3 linked regions of the Neodiprion lecontei genome follow. The protein of the gene in region 2 purifies or fractionates together with the protein of the main gene of each other region. This does not show direct contact. Links are inferred from orthologs where the notes say so. Each region holds a gene or a part of one and is shown on either strand. Other genes may lie near its edges.

Region 1 (3,757 bases), on a different chromosome or scaffold from region 2:
CGGCACCCTCGGGTACTGAAACGCAAGAACGTTTCAAGATGCGTTTGCACCGTGATTGAAGAAGGCAAAAGTAAGCAGACCTACCGTTAACAATGCTACTGTTGTTGTTGTTGTTTATATTATTATTTAGATTTGAACTGCTGGATTTCCGCTCTTCCTGCAATTGCTTGGAGGGTGGCGGAGAACCCCAGCCGTTTTGGAGGTGCGGGGCGTACGGAGATGCTGGCGGGGAAGGCCCTCGGCATTCGTCATAACGATCACTGTCCGTTGTAGGATCGTCGTCGATGAAGGCCATCATATCGTTCTCCGGGGTGCTGGAAACATTTGATCAATTAATACCGGTTCGCGTATCATAAATCGTGATTACTCGATTTAACGCCCAACTTCAGTCTCGCAGCAAATAGCTCGCTACGCGTTTGACTCGGCAATAAGTTGACGTATGAAAATTGCACAGTGGTTGAGAATTTTTACCGTTTTCTTTTGGTCAAACGACCGTTACACGTGTTCAACATCACGAAGTGTGGTTAGAATTGCGCCTTTTACTTGATCAACGAAATTTTAGACAAGCGATCCAACGAGGTTACTCCTCATGACACAACTACATGCCGCAACTGCCACATATATTTAGTTCCCAACTCTAGGCCTAATTCGAAATATCGAACAGCTGATCTTTTGCAGATCAAGGTTGGCAAGGTTGTAACACGATTGGATAGCAGATTAAGCCTGCTTGATGAGAAGAATTTATCCATCCTTTTACTTGGCGCTAACGTATTTAAACGATTTATTACGGTCGACAAACGTTTTATGCGATTAGCTTTAATAAGATCGGGGATACGTGCTCCAAAACATATCAACTTACAAAATGTTAGATCATCTGACAGTGATTTATATCAGTTGCTGATCCGTTGTGCTACGTATGGTAACAAGCATTAAAAATTATTTGAATGTTAATTCAAATGGCGAATTATATTTATTTGTGGCGGTAGACTGCATTTTTATTCTGTCTGAATCTAAACCATTGATTAAACGTTATAAGTATCGAATTCGGAGATTTATTTTACAGTATGAAAATTGTAAAAAAATACCTTGGAGTTAAGTAGTCTAGGTGAGCGCTGTTCACGTGGACGAGCATTTCGGCAGGTGAAACCTCACCGAGGTCACAAAAAGGGCAGCTAGCTGCTCCTTGAAGATGATAGACTACCATGTGCGATCTCATTTCCTCATCGTTGAAGCCTTCCAGACCGCAAATTTCGCACGTGTAGCTCATTTCCAACGGTTTACTCGATGCCATGTCGATATTTTGAATATTATTCGCTCTATAAATCTGTTTGATATGAATTTGACGTTATTGTTTTTTGACATTTATGTTAAGCAAAATACCAAGTATGTGAACAATTTATTGATTCACTGTTGTATTCTTGAGAAGAAGTAACGATCTTAAGTGTTCAGTGTATGAAAGAATGTGAAAAATGAATATCGTTAAATGAGTATAATAATTACACTTTTTGATTGAAATATATTACAAACCGGTTGAAAGTAGATAAATTATGGTGTTCCGCAAGAGAAAATTTGATTCTTTGAGATTTATTGAACAAATGAAAATAATAGAAGCCGATTCACGAGCGGTGTATTAGTCGGTAAATGTTTAATCTTAAACTTCCGTTGAAAATCGCTAGAAACACAGTCCGCGGGCATTCTAAACCGAAAATTTTTCCAACGCGAGGAAGAGCGATTAACGCGCTATTCCCGGTAATACCTTGGAAGTAAGCATACAACGACGTGTAACTCGCGGGATATTTTCGGTTTGAAATAACCGCCCATGGACTGCAGGCGTTGCTACCGCATATCGTACACAACACCGATTATTCCCACTTGGACGACGGGTCACGAATCAATTGAATCTCGGCCGAAAGGCGACGAGTAACGAAGGTAATTATCACTCGGAATAATCCAAATCCACGAAGACGACACTGGGCAAATAATTAATCCCGGCAACGGTTATGCGCGAAAATATGTGAACCGCACCGTGTATCTCGACTACAATTGACCGTATCTAGGGCAGAGTGTGGGTTGAGAACAGGAAGTGGAGCAGGGTCTATTTGTCTAGGATGACCCATTTCGGGCGTGGGAACCGCAAGGTGTTAATTAAAGATCACTTACTTGCACGGATTGGCACTGGACGCGACGGAACTGTCTACGAGAAAAGCGATATTATGCAACACGGGTCGGGTTCCGTGTAGGCTTGGTTGCCTAACACGGTGCCCTGACTTCCTCCATATGCGAAATTTTCTACCCCCAACGCGCACGGCGCTACGTTTTAGCCACTGTTCCCGTTTCCCCCAGCCTCGGAACGGTCGCGCTTCTTAGAAGGCTGGCGTTTCACTCGCTCCGCGGAACAAGGATGTTGTTCTCACGACAGGGTTCATGGCTTACGGGAGGATAAAGAAACTGAAGAAAGCCCCTTGGCGACGACGCGATGGCACCTCGCGTCACACGTACGGTTCTTTGACAGTTTTCAAGGCATGGGCCTTGGAAGGGGTGCAGTCGTCGTTACTCGCAGGTGTAGTTACAACTGGCATAATGCACGCTTGGCACGAAAATGCGGTATATGCATGGCTGTATTATACATGGCTGTTTATGCGGAAGAGCGTATCAGCCATGGAGCGGATCGAACGTGACCTCGAGATACTGGAACACAGGGGGTCCAAGCCGTGGTGCGCAAACGCGGAAACATCGCGCCTGGCTCTCAACCCCTTGACTACATTTTCAGGTCACGACTACCACCCTCTTCCGGCTTTTACCCCGTCGGTAAACCGACGACACTCTCCGATATTGTTTACTCTTGAGGTTTATGAATTTCGATCGATTTCGCCAGGCTCTAACAAATCGCTACGTTATTCACCGGATGTAACCCTGAACTCCGTTTACAAACAAATCACACCGGTGAGATCAACGTCCCTTGCTGTATTACGTCGCATTAGTTTCTACCGTGATTTGAATCAACGAAAGATAGTCACGACAGCTGTTCACGCGAATAGTAGAGGGTTTCGTATCGATCATCCAGACTGAATTGTAACCATCCGCGGAGCAAAACTTCTCCTATCTGTAAGTCAGAACATTCTTTGCACGTCTTTGCGAAGCCACGAGCCATGCGGTCAAAGTCTAGACCTGACGATTCGACGACCCTTTATATAACTAGGGTAAGCAACAATGGTGGAAAAACTTTGTCAGCGCACGGAATTGCGGAATTTTTACAGTAAATTAATATTACTCCCGTGATGCAGGGTGGTTTTGTACGCGAATGTTTTTATCACTTCACGTGGTTTTCGGTGCACTCTTGACAAGTGCAGTTTCGAACGCAGAAAAATGAAGGAAATGTGTTTGCGTGTTGAAAGCCAAGTTGAAGCATCTGTTAAACGTTCTCCCAAGACTCTTTTCCGCGAAAAGGCTTGAAAAATAAAATATACATTTTTCAAGTCACGTAGAATTTGTGGCTACTTGAACTTGTAACGATCGACTGCCAACCTCGTGTTTTCGCAGAATATTTTCCATCCCGTAGGAATTCAATTCCAAACGACGTCTTGCACGTACAAAACTGTCGAGTGCCGCGTATGATTCTCAAGGGACACCGTAAGTCCGTCGGCTCCGCAGCGTTTATAGGTCGTAAACATCGAACCCGAGTCATGTGTCCCGAAAGTATAAATATGCGGTGGCTGTTACTTGCATGTTAAAACGAAGAAGATTGTTCTTCCAACTT
Region 2 (3,322 bases):
TTGTGAAATTCCAGCCATCTACAATTATCGCAATATTGTATGCCGTATGAGAAAATATAGAGCGCAAGATACTTTGTACGAAATGATCGAATTTTCTTGGGATAAGAAAATAATTTACCGTTTAGTACCAATGTCGTCGATATTTGAAGGCTGTAAATCTTGTACGTGAATTTCTATTTCCCATGGTGTTATAATGTAATCCGTTCGTTCCGTCATATTACATACATCACAGAATTGAAAACTTCAGTGCTTATTCAAACTGATCACACGCTCTACTGACATCATCGGCCATTTGTAAATAATTTTCGTATCACGCGTAATCCCGCGTAAATTCGATTGGCAGCTGGCTTGAGCAATCAGTTTAGTTCGATTTGAAAGAGTATTTTAAATTAAAAATAATTGGTGTTGGATAGAAAATACCGATTACTATCGAGGTTCGAATTCCGAATGAAGCAACAACAATTTACGAATGTATACTAAAGTATATTATCTTCAAGAAGTTCAACATATTACAAGTTAGCCGAATAAAAATCATCTTGTTTGCAGACAACTTGTGAGCGCAGATGGAAACTGATATAAGGCGTATACATACGGTGTGTAAGAAAAAACCTTGCTTCATTTTATTAATCTTTGGAATAACGGCTTTTACGAATATACAAAAGAGTGAACACAGATTAACATAAGACTAAACAGTAACATACTTCTAGCGAGAAGCTGAGAAAAATATGTATGATATTCATATTACATATATCGGCAACGCATTACGCGTATAAACGTTACAACATGGAATAATATGCACAAAAAATGTAATGCGTGCTGTATTTTTTTTTTTTTTTTTTGATTTACAATTTTTGTTTTCTCATCATTTTGCGGTTCATAAAAAATAGACTGGTAATGGAATAATTTTAATCTAACTGACGTAATTGTACTGTATCATAACATCTTCCTTTAAAAAAGAGGAGGGCAAAGGTACTCGATCTATAAGTACCCGAAAAATTTAAACAAATCGACGCTGAATGATCCATGTTTACGTGGTTTTGAAGTGATCGTCGGTAAGCGTTGTGTAAATGTGTCCTTCCCCGGCCAGGAAGTCGAGTATATCGTCGACCTGAGGACGGATATGCGGCTGCACCCGCGCCTTGATTTGATCCCTCTCGATGCCGCTCGGCGTGTCGTTTTCGGATTGTATTATCTTGAAGACGGCTTTCTGGTCGTTCGTCATGCCGCCAAGGCTCGCTCCCATTATCGAGGAATCCATCAGCGAATTCTGCAGTCCGACAGGTTGATTCGAGTCCGGGATGCCGATCGCGTCCATGTTGCCGGCTCCAGCGAATTTCTCCCCCTTCAGGTCGACGTATATCGTCTCCAGGAGGTGCAGGGTCAGTTCGTTCAGGTCCGTTATCGGCCATATTTTCATAATCAGAATGTGCTTCTTCTGGTGCTGCTCGCGGAGCGAGCCGAAGACCCGGACGTAGGTGTTCACCTCGATGACCGATTCCTGCGGGGGTTTGTCTGCCTCTATCCAGTGGAAGGCCGTTATCGTCCCGGTTTCGTCCTCTATGTCGTAGGTTATCTTCGTCGCCGAAGGGTCGATCCGTCGGATGATACCAACGGTCGTTATTATCTGCACGTCCGTACCCCAGATTTGCAGTTCCTCCGGGCTGTCGATCAAGTGTTTCATCATCACCGGAACGATGTTCTGGGCCCGTTTCACTCCTCGTTTCGCGTTCCCCGCCGGCGAAGACACCTCCGAAGAGTTAAAGTACCCACCCCCATCATTTGCAAACGCTTTTTCGCCCCACATTGTCAACTCTGTTAACTCTTATAACGAAGAACTAAGGTCACAACTTAACCTCAAATCGCAACAACACGCTTTTTCAGGTTCACCAAACTGCGCGCTGTCTACTGTTTGGCGGGATTTCCATTCAATGGCAATCCTCAAATGTTTATTTCTGCGTTTGCGTTTGCGCGAGACAAGCTGGTGGCGCCATCTGCCAAACACTTGGCGCATGCGTATTGCAGTTGCATTCATGGATAAGGAGTGCATCAGCGCACGTAAATGCATGAGAAGACCGCACAGCTGTCGGTCGCCTTTATTGATTCTTTGTGTTTGAGTACGGTAGAAGGCCTCTGGCATATTGTAAACAGAAACTGTTATCGTGGAATAATTGAAAAGAGTAGCCATGGAAAATGTGTCGAAAAGGAAGACACGGAAGAGGAGACAATCTAATCGAGAAGAAAATAAGGATGTTGACACCGATGTGGATGGTGTAAATTGTAGAGAGCGCATAACCTACGACGTACTCCGACTGATGCTAGAATATTTTAATATTACGGATTTAACTCGGGCGGCTATGGTTTGCAGGTAGTAAAAAATTTGGTCGTTCTGTAATGTGTTCTAGCGGCCAAATATTCCACATCCAACGATTCTCTCCATTGTGGAACTGGTTCTTCAACAATTTATTTTAACTGCCTCTTGCGGTCGAGCCACGTTTTTTTGTTCCATTATTTAAAAAACGAGAACAGTTAAGAATAGTTAGTTTTTTAACTTGGTTCTCCAGGTAATAAATAAAAATGAACTACCCCTCACCGAACCGATATGTTTCAGATCCTGGAATGAAGCTGCCGAAAAAGAAATTCACACTCGACTGAAACCACAACATTTTTTGCTTGAACCTAATACTGAGTCGAAAAAAATTACCGATCCAAAATATGTTGTGGACAAATTGTTCATCCAGCCAAGTGTTGGAATGGTGTTTAATGGCTTTCATACTAGACGTCAAATTTGGCAGCCAGGTACTGTGTGAGGCTTAACGTAACATCACATCGACGCAAGCTATCTAGAAAACGAGAGAAAGTAAAGTCTGGTGAAGCTCTAAAATTTGAAATACTTAGTATTTGCTCACCTTCCCAATAATTTGTTTTTTTCCCATATTTTTTCATTAGAACTCAATTGCTTGAGCATTGTGTTTGATAAGTTGTCAAGCTGCAAAGAAATGGGAAATTGAAAATAATACTTGTCAAGAACTTTGAAATATCGAGTAATATCAAGTGTGTTAAAACAATTTCATCGATAATGAGATTCGTCATTCATCTTCGTTTTCTAGTTTGACTGACATTCAAATTTTTCAGATTGTTTGTGTAATTATTTGCCTCCTCAAACTGATTATATAACATTGACAAACAGTGGCACTATTTATGATGAAGTGGAAAACAAAGCTAGAGGTCTATCCAGTATATTCTTCCCTGAGATTCCTGATGTGAAAATCAAATACTTTCATACCACAAAATTGGACTACCTCAAATTTGATTCAACGCAAAA
Region 3 (3,757 bases), on a different chromosome or scaffold from region 2:
GTTGCTGTGAATACTGTTTTATACCTGGATATTTGATCCTGCAAAACATCCGCTGGCTGTTTCACACCGTCGCATATTCTGAAAGAAATTATTTATTTCTCTTTTATTTCATTATAATGATATTTTATTTCATAACTAGTTGATATTTCACCCACAGCTTTAAATCGTTTTCGAGTCCTGCTCTGAGGTGTGGTTTGGACATATGAAAGCCCATACTGTCGTAGCCCATGACCAATCCAATCCCGAGCTTTCCGGGAATGAAATACTTTTGATCCTTCAGGCCCACGTATTGCCTTGATTTTATTTTCTCGATATGTTCAGCGTGAGTTGCATCAGTGCCAATTCCGTGCTTATCCATTAAAGCAATTAGGTCAGCTTCTGTTAGCAAGTTTGGAGGTGAAGTTTCCCCATCAACCATTTCAATGCCAGTGGGTCTGAAAGTTTGTCCCTCTTCGTATGCATGGATTTCTTTTGCATTCCACGTTTCGTACGGGTACACTTCTAAGTAATTTTTGGCAATTATATGAAGACCACTTGCTATAAATTTTTCCTGCGCAATATCAATGTGAACAATGGTCTCTTGACCTTCTGCATCCTTTGATATACAGGCCAAAAAATGACGAACTATAAACTCGTATACACGAGCCTCATTGCCTGTAATAAAGTGGATTCTTGATTTAAAAAATTGTTATACAGTCAGAAAATTACTCCAAGCGGAAATTTTTACAAATTTTTGGGAAAATTGATCGTTTTCCAAAATTTTTGAAATTTTCAAACCATGATTACGGTCTAGACTAATAGTAAAGTTGATAAAGTTTTGTAACATACCTCCTAAAGTAGCAATGTACTTCGTAGGATGAATCGGAGGGTGAGCTCCATCATTTTTTTTCCCTTGACGTGGGAAAGGCCCGTTTTGCAGTATTTGTTGTGCAAACGGTCCCCACTGTGGACTTGCAGATTGATGTTCGACTAGTGGCACAAGATTGAGTTCCTTGGGAAAAATGTTAGTTTCTGTACGAGGGTAGCTGATAATACCTTGAGTGTACAGTTTCTCTGCTATTTTCATTGTCTCCTTTGCGTTTAGTTTCAACTTGCGTGAACCCAATTTGGCTAATTCCTATAAAATTAATACAATTGAAGTGTATCGGTTGTCATATAATAATAATTTACATAAATCAGTTGTACTAACGACGGTGTCCAATGGCAGCGGTCTCCATTTGCTTTTCGGTTTGCACGTAACTTTTTCTACAGTTGCAGTAGGAGATTCTAAACACATGTCCAGAAATATCTGGCACGGAAGGCGTTCAAACAAACGATTTCTGTCCCATCTAAATTCCACCAATATTCCATCACGATCGTCCGTGACTTTGATTTTCCAAAATGGCTCTGACTTGAAATTTTCAATTGCGAGAAACCTCTCTACTACAAAACCCAGGGTTGGAAACTGGCAGCTGCCATAGCTGATTAACATCTCAGCTAGCGTTTGTGGAAAAACCTTTTGAAGTCTCATTGTTTGAAATCGTGTAAATGCAGCTCCTGTTGGGATAACGTTGACATATTTAACCAATACAACTCTAGCCACATATCATCGTTTGATTAATTAAACAATTAAATTACCTATTCTCAAGTCCAATTCGCTCCTAACGTCGACAGCATCGCTTATGGCTTTGTTCGGTATTCCTAAATTATGAAGTGCTCGAGTCACCGATGGAGCAGTTATTTCCGAAAATTTTGCTCTGAAAAAAATAGCCAAGTAAAGATATACTTCGAACTGGTAGTAACATTTATTGACAGTTTTGACCTTGCCAATAACTACCGGTATATCTTAATGGTGGGCTTCACAGCTTGGCAAACTTGTATAACTTCAAAGCCTATGTTTTCACCCTCTCGATCGCAATCTGTCCATATAATCAGTGCCTGGCAACCCTTAGCCTCCCTCTCTAAGGTTTTTTTTATTTTCATAAAATTCTCCTCGCACTGCTTAACCACAGGTGCTTCAAATAGAGATAGTGGATTACATCCCTGCCAATTACGATATCCTCCGACAAATTCATGATTCAACAGGTGACCAGATACCGACGTCATTATCATTTTGCACTGCTGGCCCCATAGCTGGGTATCAAATTCGTAGATCTTGTTATATACTGATAGTCCTTCTCGCTGAAAATAATTGACTTTACTAGTACTATTGGCGTGTTAATTGTTTATCTGACCAGTTACGATATTTCAGAGTTTGGCAGCAAGTGGTGTTGTGAATTTTACAGATGAAAAAACAAAATAGAAACCAATAGTTACCCGATGCGAAGACCCACGTGAAAGATAGCCAGCTATACCTTTAGCTGCGTCATTTTTTTCAGCAACATTCAACACCTTCATGACGTTTTTACCGCTATTGTACAGCTCTTTGACAGTATCACTGCTACTTAATTTGGCCAGTTGAATCCATGTAGTTCTTAAATCTATAAACAAATATTTCTTAACCTTTATCTTCGTAATTTTCGATGTAAATTTCATGCGGACAAGTAAAAGCGAAGAAATAAAGAAGAAATAGACGTTAACGAAATACTTTTGACTTGATAAGATTAGATTATTGCCGCAATCAATCGTTTGGAATTAACCAAAAATACTCGGTGATTAGAGAAGTGTTTTGTTCACATTCTACTCACCAAAAACTAGCCGGTTGATCTTTGTTTGTAATACAAAATGCATTAAGCAGTTGCGGTATACTGAAAAGTAGAAAACATGAGTGAAAAAAACTCCGAAGCTTAGTGAATTTACGTAAACCTAAAGCATACTTTTTCAAATTAATATTAACTTAAAATAAATTATAAAATAAATCGAAAGTGTGTGTTGACATTTGTTTTCGGTTATGTAGAACTCTGTAGAACTCCAGAATCATGGCGTCTGCTATGCTGCGCAGAATTGCTGGAACAATTTTCTCCGAATGTAATTTACTAACGCCAAGGTAACGTAGATTTTTCACACTGCTTAAAGTAAGCTATATTTTATTGTAGTTGTGATTCGCTTTTTCGTCTTTCAACCTCTTTAGATTAATCAGCTATACAATAAAAAGAAAACCCATTTCTATTTGAGGTTAGGTCGCTTCTTGTCTACCCGTTTATTGCACCATAATACGCAATATTGTCCTGCAACCATTAATATCAGTTCGTGATACTAGAATAACTGGATTTAACTTTACTTGCAGAAAACTATCGACACCGATAGGTTGGAGAACCTTGGCCAACGTTTCAAATAAATCAAAGGATTACAAAAATGAGGAACAATATGAAGAGCCATTGCGATTCACCGGTAGTAAGGCTGATACTTGGATAGCTATGAAATCAAGAACGGGAAAAATATCGGATGAACCTTGGTACCAGATGTACGTTGTGATTGCGAGCACAGCTGCGTTTCTTATATATTTCGGCATTCTAAGGGAAGAAAGCGACATCGATAGACACTTTGATTTAACGCTTTATGATCACATAGAGGGTCTAGAAGAAGTTCAATTAAGAGCTGTCCTAAAGTTTAATCGGGAACGTAATCTTGATACAAAAGAAATAGAGGCGAGATTGAGGGAAATCGAAAAACAAAAAATGGACAAATAGTGTCTGCCGTATTTAGTTTCATTTAATCCTACACTTCGATTGTATGTCCGAAAAATTGAGTTCCGCTCTAGCTGTTAGTATAAATAAACGAGTGCTTCTTTTGTGGCATGGAAATTGCTTGGCAATATTCCCATAACCTGTAAATAATC

Evidence for each region.
Region 1: the proteins of replication protein A 32 kDa subunit (region 2) and zinc finger-containing ubiquitin peptidase 1 purify together in Homo sapiens (affinity purification with western blotting; 3 studies listed by BioGRID, with this or other methods). This does not show direct contact. The link is inferred for Neodiprion lecontei from reciprocal best matches to the Homo sapiens genes RPA2 and ZUP1.
Region 3: the proteins of replication protein A 32 kDa subunit (region 2) and DNA topoisomerase 3-alpha purify together in Homo sapiens (affinity purification with mass spectrometry; 4 studies listed by BioGRID and IntAct, with this or other methods). This does not show direct contact. The link is inferred for Neodiprion lecontei from reciprocal best matches to the Homo sapiens genes RPA2 and TOP3A.

Annotation. Positions count from the first base shown.
Region 1 is NC_060260.1:34,343,392-34,347,148, forward strand, and holds the start of zinc finger-containing ubiquitin peptidase 1, read right to left. Parts: upstream 2,634-3,757; 5' UTR 2,161-2,633; intron 1,325-2,160; 5' UTR 1,292-1,324; coding exon 1,086-1,291; intron 746-1,085; exon of another isoform or gene 513-745; coding exon of another isoform or gene 472-512; exon of another isoform or gene 384-471; intron 315-383; coding exon 85-314; intron 16-84; coding exon 1-15. UniProt on the Homo sapiens protein: Deubiquitinase with endodeubiquitinase activity that specifically interacts with and cleaves 'Lys-63'-linked long polyubiquitin chains. Shows only weak activity against 'Lys-11' and 'Lys-48'-linked chains.
Region 2 is NC_060262.1:40,665,862-40,669,183, reverse strand, and holds replication protein A 32 kDa subunit, read right to left. Parts: upstream 1,944-3,322; 5' UTR 1,805-1,943; coding exon 1,028-1,804; 3' UTR 590-1,027; downstream 1-589. Other genes in the region: zinc finger MYND domain-containing protein 10, read right to left, coding at 1-18, 119-216; F-box only protein 22, read left to right, coding at 2,184-2,365, 2,609-2,796, 3,133-3,322. UniProt on the Homo sapiens protein: As part of the heterotrimeric replication protein A complex (RPA/RP-A), binds and stabilizes single-stranded DNA intermediates that form during DNA replication or upon DNA stress.
Region 3 is NC_060263.1:2,645,170-2,648,926, reverse strand, and holds the start of DNA topoisomerase 3-alpha, read right to left. Parts: upstream 2,640-3,757; 5' UTR 2,515-2,639; coding exon 2,296-2,514; intron 2,161-2,295; coding exon 1,817-2,160; intron 1,737-1,816; coding exon 1,618-1,736; intron 1,537-1,617; coding exon 1,190-1,536; intron 1,118-1,189; coding exon 829-1,117; intron 655-828; coding exon 156-654; intron 79-155; coding exon 1-78. Other genes in the region: uncharacterized protein LOC107225596, read left to right, coding at 2,898-2,965, 3,206-3,608. UniProt on the Homo sapiens protein: Releases the supercoiling and torsional tension of DNA introduced during the DNA replication and transcription by transiently cleaving and rejoining one strand of the DNA duplex.